Linked DNA regions of Mus musculus. The protein of the gene in region 5 binds, or shares a complex with, the protein of the main gene of each other region. Links are inferred from orthologs where the notes say so. Each region holds a gene or a part of one and is shown on either strand. Other genes may lie near its edges.

Region 1 (3,500 bases), on a different chromosome or scaffold from region 5:
AAGTAGTACCCTCATGTCAACTGTCTCATGCTAAGTAAGAATTGTATTTATACAAAAAACAGCATGAAAAATTCAGGTAGCAAACAACCAATGGGATGACCAAATAAAAGATCCCATGATAATGAGAAGTCAGAAGTTAGAAGTAAATTTTGGCTATATACTAAACCTGGTAAATATTCTTAATCTAAAATCAGTGTATACAAACACATGGTGCCTGTATGGCATATAAAAGTAAAATTTGACAATGAAGTTTAAAAACTAGGTGTGAGAGTATGTAGGTGTGTGAAACTATAGTATTTGAGAAAGAAAAGACAAGTCTGAAGGGGAACTACCTCCAAAAAAAACCAACCAAACAAACAAACAAAAAACCAACCAAACAAACAAAAAAACCCAAACAAACAAACAAACAACCAAACAAACAAACAAACAAAAAAAACCAAACAAACAAACAAAAAAACCAACCAAACAAACAAAAAAACCCCCGACCAATTAGGTGCCGAAGAGACAGCTTAGTGGTTTAAACTACTTGCTGTCTTACGGAAGAGCTGGGTTCAGTTCCCAGCACCCACATGAGCACCATGCACACAATTAGTGCACACATATACACACATGCAGGCAAAACCCTGATGCAGATACACATACCTTACTAAAAAGAAAATAACAAGTTTTGGGAACTTACTTGCAGGAGTCAATGACGTAAACAACATCATTTATGGTAATGCTTGTTTCAGCAATGTTTGTGGACAAAATAACCTGAAAAAAAAATGGTATAAATTTACACTAAAAACTTTCTGCTTATAACAATACAGCAACAGGATTAAAAAGAAAAAAATGATCAAATATGGAAAGACTTTTCTATAATTTTTGATACTTTAGCATTTCCCTAGTAGCTCTTGGAACATTTATTAATAGTTAACATCTATATCACATCTGATCTCCTTGTGATGCCATATTTACCTTGGTTACTCCATCTGGTACTGGATCAAACACTTTGCGCTGTTCCTCACGAGGAATCTGAGAATGGAGAGGTAGAATCTGATACCGGTGACTTCCTATGAAACACAAAGGTTAAGGACAAAACCTAAGCAAGTTTAAAACAAATGTTCTTTACAAATGGTTTTAATCAACAGACATTATCATCCAGGACAAAAGCAAAAAATACTCAAAGGCAATCTAAAAAAAAAATACTCATACCGAAATGCGAATTATTTTCTAAATGCTTTTGCATAGTATAAATCAAGTTCCAGCCAGGTAAAAATACCAACACAGCTCCAGGAACATTAAGGGTTTCAATGTATTTAAGAAGCGCCTCAATAAGTTCAAAAGGAGTTTCCTTTTCATTCAACTGAGACATGCTCAACTTTGTTTCTGGCCCATATTCGTCACCACATATTAGGTTGCAATTTGCCTAGAAGAAAAATGAACATGATTTTTTGGTCATTTATTACGGCTCTTAAATGTCTTTTTCTACACAAGTGACATCTAAATGTCTTTTTCTACACAAGTGACAGTCATATGCTGTCAGAGATTGACATCAGTTACTTCCATCTATGTCAGGCAGCTCATAACTGTCTTATGTCTCCCCCAGTAAATATCCCAAATAAATATGAAACTTTCCTTTAAATGAACAAATTTTAAGTTAAAAGTTTTAAAAGTTAGTAATGTGTTTGCAAAGTCTGGGTTCAAATAAAATACCCAACATTAACGGTCCTGAACTGAATTAAAGGATCTCATGTAAATGTGATGGAGAATATTCCATTTAGACTAATAATTTTCCAGGTACTCTGACATACAGCAACACAACACAAAGACTTCATATACTGGAGTATATAACCTCAACAGTTCCATCATTGATTATGGAATTATTTGAATAGTCACTAAGATATCACAAATAATTAAACAACCCTGCAATGTCAATTATTCATGCTGTGCTTCAACTTAAACAACTGTTCTCCATCAGATATTCTCATAATTAAAATTCTTTAGTCCTGAAGGTATAAAGAAAAATTTACTTACATCATCATCTTCACCACCATCATCCTCCTTATCCTTCTTTTTCTTGTCCTTTGGAGGAGGAATGAATTGAGTCATCTGAATGCAGTCTTCCAGAAAATACTCTGTCAGGGACAATCAAGTTAGTTAAGTACACAATAATTTACAAATGATACAGTTGTAAATTCACTCGCTAATCTACAGTTAAATCTCCTTTAATCCCTATCAACTTGAGTCTTCACAAACTAAGAAATTATAGCAGTAAAATTTCATAGTCAAATTTAACTAAGGTAATTCATGAATATAGTCTTACAAAACCAGCTGGGCTTTCCTCTTTATACACTTATCATACACTCTCCCCACCAAGATCTCAACATATAAACTGGAAGAATGCTACCAATCAATATATCTGAAATTCTAATAAGCCAAGAAATGTATAATTATATCTTGCATATTTCAACCACAAAGTGACTCCCCAAGATTGCAAACCAAAGACACATACACTTCCACCTAAATTAATGTTCACCAATTTTGTTGAGTGTTAAGCTGTGCTCCCTTGCCACTGGGAACTACACACTTCAGGAACCAATTACTACCAAATTTACTTAAGAGTTGGGGAATCAAATTTCAACAAGGAAAAAACATCTATACTTATTACTTAGAATGCCTTAGAATGAAATCTGTAGTTATCACTTAATTAACATCCTTTTGGGTATATACCCTTATTTTAAACTTTGGATTTAAAGTAGTACCATCATAAACTTTCCACTCAAATTGTACCTCACTCCTGTGCCTGCTGATTAGGATGTGAGTTTTCAGCTACTACTAATTCATGCCTGCCTGCCTCCCCCTCACACCATAATCATGAACTAACCCAAAACTGTTAACTTCAATTAAATGCTTTTGATGTCTTGGTCATGGTGTCTCTTCAGAGAAAGACAAAGACATCTCTAACTGTCATCTGTAAGAACCTTAGTGACTATCCTCTATCATACACCCATTAATCTCTTTATAAATCTTTGAAGAGAAGCACAGCAAATACTATAACTTTAAAACCCATAAACAAAGAAATACATTAGCTTCTATTTCAGAGGTACATAAAACTTTCTTGTGTATTGTATATTCCTGTTTGTGTTATCTTCCAAAATTGCTTCTCACCAATCATGAGCTCACCCATAAACCATCAAACCCTAGAAATCCTCACCCCAGCATCCCAGCCCCAGGACTACAAGCCTCGTGTCACACAATACACACACACAAGCTAGATGGGGATTTAAAATCAGGACCTTGTGCTTACACAGCACAGACTGAATGAGGTATTTTTCCAACTCAAACTCAGCACAAAATCTGTTTCCTATCACACTTTACACAAAATTTACCTTGAACTGGGAAAGTCCTTCCATAAACCTCAATGATGGGGCAATTGAAGAAATATTCACAGAACATGGTGGTATCAATAGTTGCAGACATAAGAACAATACGGACTTCAGGATAAGCCAAAACCACAT
Region 2 (3,500 bases), on a different chromosome or scaffold from region 5:
CAACTGATAATTGGTAAGGTGTAACATTAACGTCTTTAACATTTTCCCCTCAAGACAAATGTGTCTGCTGCTGCCCAGAGAAGAAAAATGTGCCTGTTTGCAGGCTTCCAGCGGAAAGCTGTTGTAGTGTGCCCAAAAGATGAAGACTATAAGCAGAGGACACAGAAGAAGGCAGAAGTAGAGGGGAAGGACCTACCAGAACATGCTGTCCTCAAGATGAAAGGCAAGGAATTCACTTTATTTTTACTGTCTTAAGTACGGTTTGGGGATTTATACCTAGAAAATATCTTCACACTTAGAGATTATATTAATCTGCTAAATAGAAACTTGTATGGTTATTATACAAAGAATGTGATGAAGGCCGTGACCAGATAACTGAAAGTTGAAAGAATTAAACACATTCAGAGATAAAGTTTATAGAATTTACATGTTCATAATTGATTTATAAGTTTGACTTGATTCCCTGTAGGAAACTTCACCCTTCCAGAGGTTGCAGAATGCTTTGATGAAATAACCTATGTTGAACTTCAGAAAGAGGAAGCCCAAAAGCTTTTGGAGCAATATAAAGAAGAAAGCAAAAAGGCACTGCCACCAGAAAAGAAGCAAAACACTGGCTCAAAGAAAAGCAATAAGAATAAGAGTGGCAAGAACCAGTTCAACAGAGGTGGTGGCCATAGAGGCCGTGGAGGATTCAATATGCGAGGTGGCAATTTCAGAGGAGGAGGCAAGTTAATTTTGCCTGTTGGTATTTGGAATTTGAAAATGAATGAGTTTATTTTTTAAGTTAAATAGGAAGTTAGTTTCTTTGATAATTTGCTGCCATGTTTGACTAATACACAATGAGGGGAGTGTATTGGGTATACTTAAAACTGGGCATTGCTTACTTTTTCATTAATGATAAGAGATAACTGTATGAACTCTTCCTTAAATGTGTGACAGCTAAACTAAACCCTTTGTGCATTTATTTAGCTCCTGGGAATCGTGGTGGATATAATAGGAGAGGCAACATGCCACAGAGAGGTGGTGGCGGTGGAAGTGGTGGAATTGGCTATCCATACCCACGTGGCCCTGTTTTTCCTGGCCGAGGTGGTTACTCAAACAGAGGGAATTACAACAGAGGTGGAATGCCCAACAGAGGGAACTATAACCAGGTATTGATTTGCCCTGAAATGTTGTAGATGAATGGATGTTGGGAGTCTTAACTGGCGGCGTTGACATAGTTGTGAAACAATTTAGTTATTGGACTTTGCTTTTTCAGGTCATTAATAACAGCAGTGAGCTTGGGGAATAAGGGTTTCTGCTTACCCCTCCCTAAAAAATAGCCAACCATTGCTTGAGAGCTCTTAACAGATTTTTTTTTTTTTAAACTTTCATAGAACTTCAGAGGACGAGGAAATAATCGTGGCTACAAAAATCAATCTCAGGGCTACAATCAGTGGCAGCAGGGTGTAAGTAGTTTCTTAAATGCTTACATAAATTATGTGTTATGTTTACAAGATTGAGACGGAAGTTCTTACCTAGGAATTGAAGAGTTTTATACTTTAATAGGACAAGGTGTCTATAAATTGTTACTGTGTTATTGTTACTGTAACCATGGATAGGCTGGATTTTAACATTACTTTAGATAAAGTAATATTTAATACATATGGTTGTTTTACTACATGGTCATTTTTAATAGTTTTAATTACATAAACTAACCCTAAGTCTTGTGTTTCCTTTGGTAATGTGTATTGGTAAATAATATGGGTAATTGGTAAATTAAAATTAAGTCTCTGATCTGATGTAGAAATTAAGTGTGATAAATTTGTTTCCAGCAATTACTCTGAATTAGATCATTGTCATTTCCTAAAAACAATTTGAGTGGCTTATTGATGTTTTTTTCTTTAAAAACAAAATTTTCTCTTACAGCAATTCTGGGGTCAGAAGCCATGGAGTCAGCATTATCACCAAGGATATTATTGAATACCCAAATAAAACGAACTGATACATATTTCTCCAAAACCTTCACAAGAAGTCGACTGTTTTCTTTAGTAGGCTAACTTTTTAAACATTCCACAAGAGGAAGTGCCTGCGGGTTCCTTTTTTAGAAGCTTTGTGGGTTGATTTTTTTTTTTTTCTTTTCTTTTTTGTACATTTTTAATTGCAGTTTTAAAGTGAATCGTAAGAGAACCTCAGCATTGTGCACGATAAGAGAATGTGTCAGTATTTCAGGGTTCTACATTTTATCTGTAAAATGTGACTTTTTTTTTTATCACAACAAAAGTAAAATGTTGCTTTGTACCTGGTGTCTTTTATTAAGCATTTACTCCCCCATTTCTCACAGAGAATAACAGTCGGGAGTCATTGTCACAATAAAATAGCAATGTTAGCAGCCAGATTCATGGAAGGACTAAGGGGTCCTCATGAATTGCATTAAGATTCTGTACTGCTCATGATACACTCCATCCTCTCTAGACTGCCTGCCGGGTAATAGTGGACGGGTAATCTCTGACAAAACGGGAAGGCTATTTTTTTTCTGTTTGACAATGGAATTGGCATAATTGGGAATGAAGATAAAATTTGGAACCAAGATTGAGAAGATGGAGTGTATGTAGAAGGGCTGTTCAAAAATGTAAACTTGGTTGCATTATATGTGGAGGCTCAAACTTGTGAAGGTTAAATACCATAAAATTTTCCATTTGTTCTGCATTTTGATTCTGAAAAGAAAGCTGGCTTTGCCCATTTCTTATTAAAAAAACTTGTTGTAAATCCAGTTGTCTAATGGGATCTATATGAAGTTAGCTATGTCTGTATGCCCTTCTCCCACAAATACTGTATTACTAGTGTGCTTGTAGTAGTTAACTCCACCATCTTTGTAAGCTAATGAAATTGTGAGTCACCCATTTATATCTTAATTTTTAATCATGTCAGTTCTTGAATGGGTATCTCCTTAGCCTGCTGATTTCTTTTTCTTTCTAAAGAAAGTGGGTGGAGAAATTAATTTAGACGTTTGTTTGCAATAAAAAGAATTCATTTTACTCTTGTTTGGGATTCTCGCCATCAAGGTCTAAATCCCTTTATAGTATGACTCCCAAGAGGAGAAACTTTAAGTGTGTGCTTTCTGGACAGCTTATTCTTTACTCTGTACTTCGGAACATTTAGGTTTTAAAAACTTAAATGTATACTGATGATTGATTTTATAATATAAAGTTGAATTCTTCCCTTCCCCTCCCCCCAAGACTGCTTTTAACATTTATGAGGGGCAAAGGTACTGGCTGGGAGAAGTTAATGTTCAGTTGACCATGTTTATGAAATGTGAGTGGCTGTCCTCACCTGATAATAGACATATAATACATGAAACTTTGGGAACAGATGCTTTTAGAAGCCATCATGCAAGCCAGTCATTGATTTCACTACTACACAATGCTGCTAACTTAACTAGCTATGTGATAAATTAGATCCCCTAATTGTAATTTTATTGGGTTTGCACAGAACACTTAAATCTTGTAAAGGAGCCTCAC
Region 3 (4,300 bases), on a different chromosome or scaffold from region 5:
CCCCCCCCAAAAAAACAAAAGAAAAGCCTTAGGACAAAGATTTCTGACCAAGTTGTAAGAATTCACCAGTCAACAAACCTCTCTCTAAAGGCAGAAATGAAATCTTCCACGTAGTTTATAAAATAGCTAAAGAACCTAGAATATATAATCCAGAATTCAGTGCATTGCAATAACTGAATCTCCCATTTTACACAGGTTGACCACCTCTGGAGTCAAGTTATTTCCACTGTTTCATACCCTATACTTTTCCTAACTAGGACAAACCTTTAGCTCACAGGAACCAGAATTTACAGTGTATCTCATTTAAAAACCACAGCATTAACATAATGGCCTGCTTAGAAACAAAGCACAGTTTAAGCAGTTAAATAGTAATTGAGGTTAAGGCAGTCTAACAAAGAGTCATCAAAAGCCAATTTACATTTAACTTGTCCGGAAGGATGATCAACAAAGTTGATGGTAAGTGCTGTAACCTACATAATGTACAATGTAAAACTGAGGTATACACATCTTAGATAGACACTACTTCAAAAAAATGTGACAAGCCCAGACAAATATTAAAATGTATTAAACACATACAAAAACCACAATTTGCCTAACTGGAAGGGCTGCTAAGGAGGGCTAGCTAGTTATAATGGACTGAGGGTTAAAATTGTCCTCTGGAAGGTGAGAGCAGACTATTCTCCGCATCACCTGGGACCATCAGGATGAACATTTTAACCCAACCAGGAATAAGGACCACTTTAAAAGCCACCAGGACGTCAACCCCACAAGCACCAAAGCCTTACATTTTTTTTTCTTTGCTCACTAGTAACCCGGGGGGGGGGGGGGGGGGGAAGGAACCCAGGACACATGGTCAGAAAGGCAAACTGCCCGTGACAGGAGAAATCCTAGAGTCTGGAAAAACAAAATGTTTCCCTCTAATTGCAACTGTAGAGAACAGTCCATTAAGTGATTGTAATCGCTTTTGCTTGAGTGTTTCCACGACTGTGTGGGGTTCATCAGTGAATGTTTTTCATCACTCCGTTATTTTAAAAGCCTATAGCTGCCCATTCACGAGCACTGTGCCACTCTGTAGCGCTCTCTTCACCATCTACTTATTTAACGCCTTCTAAGCGAGCATGTAAGAGAAAATGCTGAAATGGCGCCAAGTATCACAGCTGTACGGCCAGGATTGCTGCTGGCACTCGCGGGGCTCTACACCCATGCAACTGCACTAGCCTTGGCAGCCATCTTGAAAAAGATGCCGGGCTCACAAGGGAGCCCAGAGTGCAGGCAGCGCCTGCACTTACCACCGCCGTCTACAAACCCTTCTCTGGATCTATGAAGGTATAGTTTACAACTCTAAGCCAAATACAACGAAGGCTAAGTTCCCAAGGACTTATGGCCACTCCAGCAAGCTATAACAAAAATTGATTTGATCAGCATGATTCCCTGACAAGGAAGTAAGAGAAATAAAAAATGAGGAAGAACCATTTCCTTTCAGATACGTTACTCGTCGTTTGGACAAATAAGAAGAGCCCTCTTTGGCTACAGAAGGTCTATAGGAAAAATGTGCTCGAGGTACTAAATGGACTGAATATTCGAGTAGTCTAAACAAAGGCAACATAACCTTACAGTACAGATAACATCTCAGGCAACTGACATGTCAAATCCCGTTCCCCGAGAGGTTAACAAGGTGAAAGATCACCTGTATGTTAATTAGCGGGTCACATTCTTACATAGCAATTTCAAAGCAGAAAGGGATGTCAAGGTTAAAAGCGTGCTTAGCCTGGAGTTGCCTCAGTTTGATGCAAGGTAACTGTTAAGGCATGGCTCATGCGACGCGCCTGCCTTGACCTGCTTTGTGCCAAAGCTTTTTGAGGCTAGCTCAAGATCGGTACTTAACAGCAACACAAAGCGAGTCTACAGACCCGCTAATCCCGTCACCCAAGGAAGAAACACAGGGTCCCAATCCCCCACCCTGTCATGCCCGCGGTGGCTCTGGCCCATGCAGGAGGCGGACGCGAGCTTTCCACCCCGGCATCTCACCTGTTGATGAAACCGTATCCGTTCCTTACATTGAACCATTTGACTGTTCCCAAAACCTTCGTTGCTGGAAAACAAAGCACAACAACGTCCAATCACCGGCTGGCCCTGGAAGTCGGTCCAGGATCTAGCCGCAGGCCCGGGCCGCCGCCCTCGCCGCACACGTGGGTGCGCCGGGTAGCGCGGGTCCGAGGTGGGTGTGCGCCCGGGAGGCGAGCACGTGAGGGCCGGGGAAGCAGCCCGCGCTCCTCCGGCTGCGTAGGCGGCGGGGCGGGGACCCCAGCACGAGGCCCCGGGGCGGGTGGGCGCGGGGGAGGGGCGGCGGCGGCCGGAGCAGCGGCGGGATCCCGGTGTGCGCGCGCCGCGGGCCTCGGGGGGGAGGGGCGGCCGCGTAGTCCGTGGCTCGGGCCGCGTCGCCTAACGGTCCGGCCCGCGGCCCCATCCCCGGTCCCTTCTGGCGCTCACCGATGACCTTCTTGTCCCCGCCGGCGGGCGCCGCCGATGTGAGGCCACCCGGGCCGCCACTACCCGCGCCGCTGCCCGTGGAGCCGGGCTTGGTGTCGGCGGCGCTGAGGGCGGCGGCGGGGGCGGCGGGCGGCTGCTGGGTCTCGGCCTCGCTGCTCATGGTTGCGGTGATGGTGACTGGGGCCGGCGGCGACGGCTGCGGCTCCTCCCGGGTGTGATGGTGACTAGGCCGGCGGCGGCGGTGGGGCTCTCAGGGCTCTCTGGGGTCCGCTCTCCGCTCCCGCTACCGATCGAACTAGCGAGAATGGCGGGACGGGCGGGATAAGCCCCGCGATAGACCCGCCCTCGTCCTCCCCCATTGGTCCGCATCGTTGTCCATCTCACCACCTGACCGGGTCTCTAGCGCCTATTGGCTCACGCTCCGCGGCTCCTGCGCTCTCATTGGTATCTTTAGCGACTAATTCGCCCGACCCACAGCTTCTCAGGCCTCCGCCGCCATAGAGACCGGAACTAGAATGAGAGCCTCGGCCGTGAGCACCATAGAGTACCGGGAGGACGCGCAGAGGGAACGTTCCCAGATGGGGCTGCGCTCGTCGCGCACGTGGGCCGCGATCGCCGGGCCTACTCCGGCCTCCTAGAAGGGGCTCCTTCCCACGGCTGGGTGAACGCCGGGGCCTCCTTAATGGGTCAGGCTTTTGGTGATCCAGTCACCTTGGAGGGACCACGCAGGCGCTGGAGCTGCCACGACTCAGCGTGTTCAGGGCGGGGGTGATCGTTTCCCCCGGCGTCCGAGGAAATGTATTTCATACTGGCCACAAATCAGATTTAATTTCGCCTCACATTTATTGGATGTTAGGGTTTTTGACTTTATAAACTAAGCACTGTAGACAAGGATTGCTATCCTTGTTTTTATACACTGTAAAACACACGCTGCCTTCTTTCTGAAGCCCTCCGCCTACCTTCATTCATTCTTTATTACGCATCTACTATTGACTGGGGATTGAAGTAGTTTGCCAGTTAGTTTCTGCTTTCTGATGGTGGAATTTTAAACGCCCACCACTTCTTGGTTGGGTGAGCACAGCGTTTGGGGAGTGGGAGCAGGAAGAGTTGGGTGGTGACATTTCAGGCAAAGGTAGGTTTGTGCAAAGGCCTAGAAAAGATAGGGTCTCACGGAGACTGCAAATAAAGGAAACCAATCGAAGTAGGAATCAGAGGTGGGCAGAGGTGTTTTTAACCTGAGATTCTTCCCCTGATCACCGGTGAGCAGTGTAGCTTTCGCGGTGTAAGTAAGGAGTAGCATCGTTAAAGAAAGAAAAGGCTGCTGCTTGGAGAAGGGGCTGCAGAGAGAGAAGGGATGGGAGTGGGGGAAACAAGAGGACCTGAGATGGCTCTGTGTGTAAAGGCACTTGGCCAAACCTGAGTTCTTGCCTTCAGCTCCACATAATGGAAAGAGAAAGATAGCCTCTTCCTGTAAGCTGTAGCTTGACCTCCCCACGAGCACTGTGGCATACTCCTAGCTCCCAGTAAATAAAAGCATGAACTAGAAATACAAAAAGAACGCTAAATCCGACGGGCTGTGGTGGCGCTCGCCTTTAATTCCAGCACTTGGCAGGCAGAGGCAGGCGGATTTCTGAGTTCGAGGCCAGGCTAGTCTGCAAAGTGAGTTCAGGGACAGCCAGGAGAAACCCTGTCTCATTCCCCCCCCCACCACCACCACCACCACCAAGACCAGGGCTGGAGAGATGGCTCTGTGGAGATGGCTCTGTGGCTCTGTGGTTAGATCACTTGCAGTCCTGATGTTAAGACTGGA
Region 4 (4,037 bases), on a different chromosome or scaffold from region 5:
TTTTTATAGAAACCATTTCCCCTAACTAAAACCTGCCAGAAAATTCTCAGAAAATAAAACTTTATTACTGATAATAAAAACTATCTTATTTTAATAGATTATATGTGGTTATGCACTAACGAGAGAAAAACAAGGTTCAAGCATAGGACAAAAATATGTTTATTTTTTTACCTTAAGAGTAAAACCAAAATAATACTTCCCCCAACCGGAAAACAAAACAAAACAAAACAAAAAAACATTTTCACAGGAAAAACAAAAATGGTGGGGCCAATGGTGCAGATTTGTAATGGAGAAAAAACAAATTAAGAGGATTTTCAATAAAGTCAATTATATTTTCCACCCTTGCAATACATTTGAGTTTCTTAATCTTTCATTTTTGGGCTTCAAATTAGCTCCTCGATTATGTATCTCTATTGTCACCAGGAAGCAACCACAACTGAGGACTATTTCAGGTTTCATTTATGCTGCTCCGATTCACTCAAGTACCCTCTCTGTTAGTGCTTTTTGGTTGGGACCCAGCATCACTGGGAAAAAGACACTCCTGAGACAAGCACTCAGAGAGAGGAGTGAGAGATGCCTGACATCCAGCATGTGCATGGGTCCCACCACACATCAAGAGACACTTACAAAAGATCACCTTCTCACTCAGTTTATGCCAAGACTCAAGACAAAATGCATTTGCAAGTGGGGAGTATGGATGGATTCTGTGGCCGGAGGAATGGGCAGTGGAGGAAAAGGTTGTTCAGTTATTATACCCTAAAGACATTTATTTATACTCCAGATCTAAAATGAGAGATACGATGAACTCTTTGAAACTACAGTAGCAGCATCCAATGTAGTAAAAATGCCAGTATCACCTAACACAAAAATCACTGGCTAGTATAAAGCTAATCTACTTATATTTTTCCTATGAATAATTGCTGGAAATTTTGGAGAAATCATTTGCAGAACCTACCAGCTGTGGGAATTTACTACTATGCTTCTGTCAACTTCATTCAATATAATTTACATTTTTTTCAAATGGTCTCAGAAGATTTCTTGTAATTTTTTGCACGTACAATTTCACAGCAGGGAAAGAGGGAGAGGGAGAGAGAGAGAGAGAGAGAGAGAGAGAGAGAGAGAGAGAGAGAGAGAGAGAGAGAGACAGAGACAGAGACAGACAGAGAGAGGGACACAGAGAGAGACAGAGAGACAGAGAGAGACAGAGAGAGAAAGAGAGAGACAGAGAGACCCTATTCTCCCTTCCCCCTTCTCTCTCTTTTTTAAACAAACAAACAAAAAGAAAAAGAGGAGAGACTGAACAGATGCTTAAAAATAGATTTGAAAAATCACTGTAAACCAGAGTTAGAAATGTAATTAACACCTATTTATGAAGAATAATTAAAGTTGGGCTAGTCACAAAGAACAGCAAAGATAATCGAGGTCCTGTCCCCCCTCCTCCCTTTTTACACTGTTTGCAGTGTGTTCTCATGATAGCCACCTGCTCCCTGCTCGGCTTTGCCTCTGTTCGTTTCCCCGGCAACCTTTCATTGGGTTTTCCTCCCAGCTATCGCTTTCAGTTGGGCTGCTCGGTCTAATCTTATTTGTTTTACACCCATCAAAACAAGCAGCCAGACAAAGGCAATCCTCTAAGAATGGGAAAAAGACCATAGCTTTGTTATAACATCTATGCAGAGTGAAAAGTCCTCCTTGGGCTTCTCTGATTTTTTAAAAAAAAAAATGAATTTATACCTTTCCCCACTACCCAGTCCCCAATCCCCTGAAATATATTGCTGGTGAAAATTCAAAGTCAAAGTGGGCACTCATGGCATCAATTCGTGCCATTTTGTGCCATATCTTTAGGGTCAACACCAGGAGACAGGAACAACACTCAAGGAGTTTCCCTGTTTCTTTTTCCAGAAAAAGACGATGCTAAAAATAGATTTACTACTTCGGCAGAAAGGTTTTCCACTTCCCTATCCACATCTCAAAGTCCTGTTTCACAATTGCATCTGCTGGTACTGAATCTCACCTCCTCCACCCCTCATTCCCTGCCTTCCCCATCACTCCTAGCACGAAGACTGAAAAAGAAATGTGCCTTTAACTTTAACAGTCGTGTAATTCGGCTGAAGGCTCACAGAGGCGGTGGACACGCCAGCCAACAGTGACGGTGACATTGTGATTGTCAAAAAAAGACACCAACCTTGCTTGCCTAAAATGTGTTTGATGGAAGGAAGAGACAGTATATGCCTTGTGTGCATGCAATGCCATTATACTTAGAGGCAGATTCTGAATTTCAGAAAAAGAAATACTAATACACACATGCACACACACGCATACCAGAATAGTGATTTACGATGCAGTCCACCATCCTTACACACACACACACACACACACACACACACACACACACACACACACGGCTGGAACCTCCAAGCTGCCTTCTTTTCACTTACCATCTTCAAGCCATTCCACTCCATCTGTGATCAGAAGATGGACCCTCACACAGTGTGTCAAAAGCAGAAAGGAGCGTTATGTAAAAGCTGACATTCCCTTCTTACAGAGCTGCTGCCCAGAGAAGGAAGCAACAACTCAACACGCCAGGCACCGCTACACATACAAGCCGCCTCCTCTTTTTATGAGGTCATGACAGGAAACTCTTTGAAATACAAGATGCAGCGTTTACTGAAGCCCAAATAAATCACTCTCTTTGCCGTTTTGACTGCGCAGTCCCCAGAAACACAACTGCCCATCTCAACGTTCAGCATCCAGGAGCTGCCTCTCGAGGTTTACATTTCCACCAGCACAGAAATGGAGAGATTCCTAACCCTGCTGCATCCACCCAATGCCCCACAAAACCCAGGCATGTAGACAAGCCTCTTCTCTCTTACAAAAAGAAACCCCCTTCCACCCCCTCAGATGGTCTCAAGTAATAGAATCTCTTTCAACAAACCAGCAATTATTTCAGCCCATCCCCACCCTCGGCTTTTATGTGGAAGGGAAAACTGACAACGACCTGTTAAAAATGACAATCTCTCTCCCCACTGCTTTTCAAAAAAAGGACCTACCCGCACGCTACACAAAAGATATAGTAAATGAAGGAACAAGAGAGCAGCAGAGAACTAAACTCTCGTGCAAGCATTAAGACTGGCCAAGGTGTAGACGCTTGTCTTCCCTCTAGCAACACGAACAACAGATTACATATCTAGGCATACCTACCATAACCATTCTTATTGGCAAATATTGGGTCTCGCAGCGCTTCGACTCTTCTCTTAAAATTTGCAAAGGTTTCAGAATATACTTAAAAATGACTACTATTGTTTTATATATATATATATTAAAGATCCACAGACCACAGTGTGGATGATTGTAAAGTAAATCTATTATTGGGAGGGGGTGGGGTGGGAAAGAAAGGGGGAAAAAAAAGAGAGGAAGAAAAGGCGCAGTGAGCTGAAACCCCCGATTCTAGGATGTAGATAAGAACAACTGAACAGAGCCTTGCTGAAATTGGCTCGAAGCTTCCCCTTTTTACATCCATTTATGGGACCATCTGTCAGCTGAAGCCAGACTCTGATTGGCTGGGGAAACGAAGGGAGGCGTTGCAACATCAGGTGCTATTTAAATTAGCTACTGCCAGATTGACGATGTTAATGATCTGGTGACCTCTACAACAACAGAGACCAGATTTCTGAACTGCTTCTTGTGTCTGGTAATTAAAGCCCGGCTGAAGCAACAACAGCCATGCTTGTATTTTTTACCTTTTACCTTCTTCCAGCTCAAAAAGTCCTGTCACAACTGCAGGTCATTGGAGGACTGCAAGCCTTCGCAGTGGGAGTGTCCTTCCTTTCTGGGTCCTGGGGGATACAGGAGCCCATCCCTCCGATAGAGGGCTTTTTCTGTGGAGAGTATTTTCAACCACCTTATCTTTCTTGACAGTTGCTTTCTAGCGAAATGCATATTTAATGATCTGCCTCTAGGCTTAAAGATACAACAAAAGCACTTTAATGTGCTAATAATTCTACATTTTAACTTTATTATTTCCCAGTATCGCTGGTTTT
Region 5 (3,500 bases):
GGGAGGAAATCACAAAGCTTTAAACACCATTGAAAGAAACCTGTGAGGTTAACAGCACTGGCTTCCTTGCTCTCTGGGATCCTGGATCCAGGATGGTTAAAAGACAACCAGCACAGGCAGTGTTCACTGTGAGGCACCACCTGCTTCCTGGCCTCCCACACAAGGACACTGACAGACTTGCCACACCAGGCAGTGTGACACTGAGACTCGGCAGCAGGCGATAAGGATGGGGTTGGGAGGAGGTCTATTGTGGCAGAATCTCACTCAGCCTGCTGTGTGTTAGTCCTGCTACCTGTCCAGCCTGGAAACCTAGAAGCACTGAAGACACCCGCAAGGGACTGGGCTTTTCACTCCCAGTGTGACGTGTGAAGGGGGCTGGAGTTGATACTAGACCTAGGAGAACTCAAGAACAAATCACCTTGATGGAGGCGCTGGCGAAGCGGGAGAGTTGTTTGATGTGCTGGCCCTTCTTGCCAATGATGGCGCCCACAGCCTGGGCGGGGATGAACACTTGTACCATCTCCTGCTCCGGAGCCTGCTGCCAGAACAGGGGACTCCTTACCAAAGGCCCAGGGAAGGGGGCGAGGCAGGACCCAGGAGCCCCTCCACTGGGCTGCCATACAGCCTCCAAAAGTAACAGGTGCAGATACCTAGCTGCGCCCTGGGCTATAGGAGGACGCCATGAACTCTTTTTCTCTCCCTTCCAACTAAAGGGAGCTAAAACCAAGTGGAAAGCTGCTGCCGACGCCTCAGCTGGGCTCTTCTCCTTGTAGCTGGCATTCTGGCTGCAGAGGCCTCTCTTCCCTCCCTCTTGCCAATGTCCCAAGCCCTGGGTAACAAGACCTTCCACCTACCATGAAGGAGCTATAGGGAGCAGCCCCGGTGACACTGCTGGGAGGAGGAGGGACAGCGCTGGATGAAGCTGGGAAGAGACCTACAGCAGCCAGGTTAAGCCCAGGGATGAGGTGGGACTGCAACTGCGGAGAGAGGCGAGGCACAGGTCAGCCTGCTGACAGAACCCTAGCATGCGGCTCTGGCAGGATTTCTAGGTCTTGCTGTCTGTCACCCACCAAACTCCAGGCTTGGTAAAAGCCATGTCTATATGAAATAAGAAGATGACCCCTAATGTCCCCCTCAAGCTGCTACATATGCACGCCTAACCACCCACCCACACGCCGAACTACCCACACAGACACATTAAAAAAACGGAAAATCCTATGAGCAGATCGTGGTAGCACATGCCTGTAAGGCCAGCACTCGGGAAACTAAGGCAGGAGTGAATTCAGTTCTAGCCTACAGAGCAGAGCGCAGGACTGTCTCAGAAAAAAGCTGAAGTTGGGATCCTTCATCTCCTACAGTATACAAGCTTAACTAGATCAAATCACACAGATCACAGAGTGGTTAAAGTACAGAATCCATGAAACCCAAGACTTTGCCCCCAATCCCAACCCAGCAGCCATGTAACGAGCCCTTGTGAGTAAATACAGCTACCCACGCCAACAACAGACTGTTTACCTACAATGTACAAGACGCTAGACTTCATCCCCAGCACCACCACCTCCACAGAAACAAACTTAGATGAGTTAAGTCCAAAAGCACAAACTAAGGGGCTGGAAAGGTAGCCCACTGATCAAGGGCACTGCTATTCTTCAAGGACTTCACATGGTGGGCCACAACCATCTGTAATTTTAGTTTTGGAGAATCCAATGCCCTCTTCCAGCCTCTGGGAACCTGGGACGCACACAGTGTCCTGAGATAGATGCGAGCAAAACCCTTGCTAAGTTCAGAGAAGGCTGCAAGAGGAGCTTGGGATATAGCTCCTCCAGAGGTATCACTTTCGCCTGTCTCCAAGGCCTAGACTCAACTCCCAACAACACACGCAGACGGTGCCGCCTCGCACTCACGCTCATGGCGGCCACGTCGTTCTCGTAAGCCTCTCGAACTTTCTTCATGATCTCCTGCTCGGCCCTGCAACAGTTCTCAATGGCGCCCTTCACAGTGATGGTCCTCTCAGGGTTATAGAGCGTGAGGTCCTGGAGCCTGGCAAGAGAGCAAGACAACGTCAAGCAGTGGGCAGCACAGGGCGGGAGCCAGACCCCAGCTAGGGGCAGAGCCGGAGACAACTGAGTTACTGGTCCAGCAGTTCTAAAGGACGTCTAACTTCCGGCAGGGAAGCCCTATCTCCAGGCTTCAGGTAACCAGGGCAAGGAAACTAAGCATACTCACAACAACTCCGTCTGTGGGAACACAGGCTATCATGAAAGGCTGTGGTCAGCAGACACACAGAGGCTGCAGGCAGAACTTGATGTGCTACTGTGCAATAGTTACTCTGCAACAGCTCTAAGGAATGGAGAGGCAGGCTGCTTACAGGCAGCTAACCCACTCCTGTCACTGCTCTTCAGAGGCAGCCCTGTGTGCCACAGCTGAAAAGAACCAAGGTTTGTACACCTTGTACAATGGCAGACACACCTAAAGGCCAGACCTTCGCTGCAGGCTTTCGTGGGGATGCGTGTGTCTAGAATGTTGTACCAAGGGCAGGTATTAGGGTGCTCCAGCCCTCATTGAGCAGGACAAAATGTTCTCCTCACGTCTCCGATTTGATTGTCCCAAGAGGGAGGTGCTAAGGCCCAGTGGCAGGTCCCTCATCCCCAGCCTGAGCTCGGCACTGCTGTGACCCCAGCCTGAGCTCGGCACTGCTGTGGAGGGAATCACGGAGAAACTCACGATGAGATGGTGATCTTCGTCTCTGTGTCCTGCTCCACCTTCTTCAGGTTCCGCCCTTCCTTGCCAATGAGTCGCCCGACGAAGTTGTTATGAGCCAGGATCTTCAGGGGAACTTCATCTGCCCTGGAAAGGAAGTAGGGGACAGCTCGGTCAATGATGTCAACAAAGGTTACCCAACTATGTGATGAACCCAGAAAAAACCCTGAGCCAAGTGTCAGGATACAAGCCCAGCAGAGATCGGTGTTCTGTAAACAGAAATGGCGGATGAGGATGGCAGGGTGACATTTGGGAGCCACAGCATTATCTCAACTGTGATCACGGTCAGCAGGTACATTATCAACACATACAAATCGAAATCCATACAACTACACACTCAAAATATATGTGCAGTTGTGTTTGAGGGTTTAGCGCAGTAGTACTGTTTAGCTTGTCCAGCATGCATGAGGCCCAGGCTCTAACCCTAAGTTGAAGGGGGTAAGGGAGCAGAAAAGACACCCAGTGTATCCTGTAGGCATCTGCCGATAGTCCCAGCTAATAAGGCTGAGGCTGGAGGATCCAGAAATTCTAGGCTAACCTAGGCAATGTCCTCAAACAAACATAGCATTGTTATACTAGTTGAACCCTAATAAACCTGTATAAAAAACAAGACAACAACAACAACAACAAAAACCAGGGGCTAGAGAGATGGCTCAGTGATTAAGAGCACTGACTGCTTTTCTAGAGGTCCTGAGTTCAATTCCCAGCAACTACATGGTGGCTCACAACCATCTGTAATA
Region 6 (4,035 bases), about 40 Mb from region 5:
CCTTTAATCCCAGCACTTGGGAGGCAGAGGCAGGCGGATTTCTGAGTGCGAGGCCAGCCTGGTCTACAGAGTGAGTTCCAGGACAACCAGGGCTACACAGAGAAACCCTGTCTCAAAAAAACAAAACAAACAAACCAACAACAGAAATACAGGGAAGGGCTAGAGAGATGGCTCAGTGGTTAAGAGCACTGACTGCTCTTCTGAAGGTCCTGAGTTCAAATCCCAGCAACCACATGGTAGCTCACAACCATCCATGAGATCTGATGCCCTCTTCAGGGGTGTCTGAAGACAGCTACAGTGAACTTAGATATAATAATAAAATCTTTTTAAAAAAATACAGGAAAATCTAGTATATAAAAGATGACAATTTTGAAAAAAAAAAAAAGCCAACCTGCTTTCAAGCAGGGTCAAGAACAGACATTTCTAAAAATCTAATGCTCAGGCACTATACTGACAGCTGATAACTAAAAACCAGAATGTGAATTAAAAGAAAAGAAACTAGCCAGATGTGGTGGCGCACGCCTGTAATCCCAGCACTTGGGAGGCAGAGGCAGGCGGATTTCTGAGTTCAAGACCAGCCTGGTCTACAAAGTGAGTTCCAGGACAGCCAGGACTATACAGAGAAACCCTGTCTCGAGACAAAAAAAAAAAAAAAAAGAAAAAAGAAAAGAAAAGAAAAAGAAACTGCGCAGTGTAGTACCTGTTAGAACCTTAGCTCAAAAGACACCTCCACCAGCAGTAACCTCTGACCTGCTCGGAAGGGAGCAGCCAAGGCGGTCAGTCACTGCTTCAATTCACTGCTTTCTGACACTGAGCTAAGGAGTCAGTTTCTATCTATCCCTATCCTACTAAGCACCTGCCTGAGGCCAAGAGTCTTTTGAATGTGTGGGGATGAGATTAATAGCCATCCCCTTCAATTCGATCATTTCCCCTTGATATATCTGACCTCAGTAACACTACCTGGACTCAAACTTCCCAAGTTAGAAAGCAGGTCACTGCCTTATTTTAAAAGGTGATGAATTACTAACATTCGCCTACCCCTCCGTGCAGGTTAAGTAGAACCCGTTCCAAGGAAACAATGTTATATTCAGAAGCAAGGCAGTTAAATTCAGCATGCATCCCCACAGCGTTTGGTTCTTCGTTGCCACTTTGTTAAATGTCAGTGGTCTTTAACTTTTTGCAAGGATGTGCCCCTCAAGAACTAGTCCTGAAACTTCTGTTGTAGTCTTCGATGTGAAACATCTGCCATTTAACGTGCTTTCTAGCCAGGGGTTAAAGGCAATCCTCAGCATAGAAAGATAGGCTGACCACAGATCCTTGAAAATAGCTTTGCAACCCGTAGAAGTCAAACCAAGTAAGTACTAAAATAAATTACTCGGTTGGGCTTAGTGGAGGCACCTTAACTCTTGGCACCGAGAAGATTCTGAGATCCTCTTGAATTCCAGGCCAGGAAGGGCTCCACAGTAAGAATTTTTAAAAAAGGCAGTTGATCATCGATGGTTCGGCAGGAGACCTAATGGCTGTGCTTGCCAACAAACCCAATCGGTGACTGTGACCCACTGCACAATAACTGGACACTGGACACCATCCTCTCCCCAGCAATTTCAGATGTGACTTATTTTTGTGGCTCTGGTGACTGAACCCGGGGCTTCCTGTATTCCATGCCAAGTGCTCCACCTCTGCACTGAAGCCCGGGCCGGTCCTATCCAATTTCAAACTTTAACTTCAACTCTTGTAAGAATTTAAACACTTTGTTTCCTTGGACTTACGACCTTCTCAAACAAAGGTTTTTTTAATCTAAGTTTGTTCTGATTCACAACTAAAACATTCTAAGTTAAAAAGGGGTCTTGAAGAGTCAAGATCTAATGTCAGAGTTTGACTTCCTGTTGGCGGGAATTTCCCGTTACCTCGAGGTGCGTTTCGGACCTGCTGAGAGGCACACTCGATTACATTACACTCACTGTATTTTTCTCTATTTTTCCCAGAAGCTAACTTGGAGGCGCATCTATCTATCTATGTAAGTGCGAAGAAAGCTAAGTCTTCCTTTGTCATTCAAAACCCCACTCCTAATCTCTTCTCTGGAGTCCCCCACTGGCTCGCAGATGCCACCACGGGACTTCTTATACTGGGGTTTGCACCTCAGATTCAAGAGCTCAGTGGCCGATGGTGTCCCACAGCCACGTAGCCTGCACAGATGCCTGTCCTTTCCCTACAGAGGGCCTTGATTCCACCTCGTTCTCCTGTTGACTGGACCTACCTGATTGCACCCAGGTGACCGGGAAGGGCGGGAAAAAAGGGAACTCTCGGCATAGTGCAGGGGGAAACAGTGGGGGGATTGGAGAGATCACGTCTTGGCGTGGCTGTCTCTGCACCACTGAGCCCTTGAACCCGGGGTCGCGCGCCTCCGTTCTGCAACCCTGGGAGGCGCGATCACGCTCTCAGCTTGGGCTCCCCCAACCCCCATCCCCATATCCGAAGGCTTCCTTAGGGTCCAGGCCCAGCTATACCATCCGGAAGAGCCGGCGCGCGCCAGAGAATGCGCGTGGAGCACGCAGGGCCGGCCAGACGCGTGACGCCCGCCGTTGGTGCGGTGGACCACGCGCGGGCCCTAAAGCGCAGGCAGGAGGCCGCGCCGGCCGTTGGTGGGGGTGGGGACGCGCCGCGCGGTCTCCCGGGGCGCCCCGCTCGCGGCCGCAGCTCGGCTCATGCCCGGCCCGCATCCGATCAGCCCCACCCGCGGGCCCAAGTACCTGCGCGGCTGAGCGGGAGGACAGGGCTGCTACGTGGGAGGAGGTGGCGGCGTCCCTCGCGCGATGCCGCGGCACGCGTGCCCGCCGCCCGCTATATAGCCGCGCTCAGCCGAACCTGCTGCTCCCGGTCGCATGCAGGGACCAATGGCCGCCTCGCCACCGCGCCCCTTGGCTATGATTGGACAGCGTCTTTGTCTAGAGGCCGAGCTCCTGAGTGGCTGCCGCATCTGCCTATAACTGAAGGAGCTAGAGCCCAGATGGACACGAAACCTCGCCAATACTCAGATGGTCTATAAAAATGAGGGCGGGATGCACTGAGAGCGACACTCAGACAAGCCAATAGTTGCATGCACCCGTTCTCATTGGCTTACATTTCTTTTTCTGGGCGGAAACCCACTGTCCAGGCAGGAGCGGTTGATCCACAAGGTGGGGCCCGTGTACTTTGGGGAAGTAAACCCCATGCAACTAGGAGGTAGGCGCGGGCGGGGAGCAAGGAAGCCCCCAGCCAATCGCAACACCGAATGGAGCTGATTGACAGGGAGGGATGGCCCTCTCCAAAGGCAGCCCCAGGGCCGCCGTGCCCTCTGGAGCGGTTAAGAGGATGGACTAGCTGCGTCTTCCGTTCCCTTTCCTTTCTCTTCCTCTTAGGTTGAATCCTGTCCTCGAGGACCGGTCTCCCGCCTTCCCAGGCGACTCTGGTACCCGGGATCTAAGTAACAGTTTCCCGGGTTTTGTTTTTTTGGTTTGGTTTTTTTCTCTTCGCATCAAAACTTTTTTTGCATGCATTTCGGAAGAGCAGGAGCTGCTGACCCTTAGCATTACTCAGCACGAATGCAGTGGCGACCGAGGACAGCGAAACTGGCTTGGTCGGCACCCCAGAGCATACCGCGAGGCAGCCTCCCTGGCGTTTGGGAATGCTCTTGTTCCCGGGTGGCTTCCAAGCTGGCGTGCCCGGGTGGCTCCTGGACGTTTTCAGGTTTTCCAATCTTGTGATTGCAGAGACAACATCCCATCTTTGATCACCCTCTGGCTGGCGAAAGTTATAGGATGCGTCACCACCAGCCATTGTCACATGCTTTTCAAACTGAAATGGGAACTTTACCCAACTCCTAGGCAGACACGCCTAAGGTTCCCCCATAAAGGCTCCAGGGTCCAAATAGTAGTACCTCAGTCTGCTGCTGACCCCAACTCGGGGGGGTTTTGTGAGCCTTCTGGCCACCATGAGCATTTTATATTAAGAGCTGTGATCCAAATGCTAAACACAAACTAGACTAGTCTGTGTTCC

The links.
Region 1: Igf2bp1 (region 5) and Dhx9 share a complex: the UniProt entries of both Homo sapiens proteins name them as parts of the coding region determinant (CRD)-mediated complex. The link is inferred for Mus musculus from reciprocal best matches to the Homo sapiens genes IGF2BP1 and DHX9.
Region 2: Igf2bp1 (region 5) and Hnrnpu share a complex: the UniProt entries of both Homo sapiens proteins name them as parts of the coding region determinant (CRD)-mediated complex. The link is inferred for Mus musculus from reciprocal best matches to the Homo sapiens genes IGF2BP1 and HNRNPU.
Region 3: Igf2bp1 (region 5) and Ybx1 share a complex: the UniProt entries of both Homo sapiens proteins name them as parts of the coding region determinant (CRD)-mediated complex. The link is inferred for Mus musculus from reciprocal best matches to the Homo sapiens genes IGF2BP1 and YBX1.
Region 4: Igf2bp1 (region 5) and Elavl4 share a complex: the UniProt entries of both Homo sapiens proteins name them as parts of the TAU mRNP complex. The link is inferred for Mus musculus from reciprocal best matches to the Homo sapiens genes IGF2BP1 and ELAVL4.
Region 6: Igf2bp1 (region 5) and G3bp1 share a complex: the UniProt entries of both Homo sapiens proteins name them as parts of the TAU mRNP complex. The link is inferred for Mus musculus from reciprocal best matches to the Homo sapiens genes IGF2BP1 and G3BP1.

Annotation. Positions count from the first base shown.
Region 1 is NC_000067.6:153,463,661-153,467,160, forward strand, and holds part of Dhx9 (ATP-dependent RNA helicase A), read right to left. Parts: coding exon 3,372-3,500; intron 2,118-3,371; coding exon 2,017-2,117; intron 1,409-2,016; coding exon 1,195-1,408; intron 1,053-1,194; coding exon 958-1,052; intron 754-957; coding exon 680-753; intron 1-679. UniProt on the Homo sapiens protein: Multifunctional ATP-dependent nucleic acid helicase that unwinds DNA and RNA in a 3' to 5' direction and that plays important roles in many processes, such as DNA replication, transcriptional activation, post-transcriptional RNA regulation, mRNA translation and RNA-mediated gene silencing.
Region 2 is NC_000067.6:178,327,816-178,331,315, reverse strand, and holds part of Hnrnpu (heterogeneous nuclear ribonucleoprotein U), read left to right. Parts: intron 1-54; coding exon 55-223; intron 224-469; coding exon 470-724; intron 725-969; coding exon 970-1,151; intron 1,152-1,376; coding exon 1,377-1,448; intron 1,449-1,908; coding exon 1,909-1,962; 3' UTR 1,963-3,500. UniProt on the Homo sapiens protein: DNA- and RNA-binding protein involved in several cellular processes such as nuclear chromatin organization, telomere-length regulation, transcription, mRNA alternative splicing and stability, Xist-mediated transcriptional silencing and mitotic cell progression.
Region 3 is NC_000070.6:119,291,714-119,296,013, forward strand, and holds the start of Ybx1 (Y-box-binding protein 1), read right to left. Parts: upstream 2,801-4,300; 5' UTR 2,651-2,800; coding exon 2,491-2,650; intron 2,093-2,490; coding exon 2,029-2,092; intron 1-2,028. UniProt on the Homo sapiens protein: DNA- and RNA-binding protein involved in various processes, such as translational repression, RNA stabilization, mRNA splicing, DNA repair and transcription regulation.
Region 4 is NC_000070.6:110,284,035-110,288,071, forward strand, and holds the start of Elavl4 (ELAV-like protein 4), read right to left. Parts: upstream 2,801-4,037; 5' UTR 2,460-2,800; coding exon 2,436-2,459; intron 1-2,435. UniProt on the Homo sapiens protein: RNA-binding protein that is involved in the post-transcriptional regulation of mRNAs. Plays a role in the regulation of mRNA stability, alternative splicing and translation.
Region 5 is NC_000077.6:95,967,945-95,971,444, forward strand, and holds part of Igf2bp1 (insulin-like growth factor 2 mRNA-binding protein 1), read right to left. Parts: intron 2,848-3,500; coding exon 2,725-2,847; intron 2,041-2,724; coding exon 1,905-2,040; intron 978-1,904; coding exon 855-977; intron 539-854; coding exon 419-538; intron 1-418. UniProt on the Homo sapiens protein: RNA-binding factor that recruits target transcripts to cytoplasmic protein-RNA complexes (mRNPs). This transcript 'caging' into mRNPs allows mRNA transport and transient storage.
Region 6 is NC_000077.6:55,468,517-55,472,551, reverse strand, and holds the start of G3bp1 (ras GTPase-activating protein-binding protein 1), read right to left. Parts: upstream 2,801-4,035; 5' UTR 2,751-2,800; intron 1-2,750. UniProt on the Homo sapiens protein: Protein involved in various processes, such as stress granule formation and innate immunity. Plays an essential role in stress granule formation.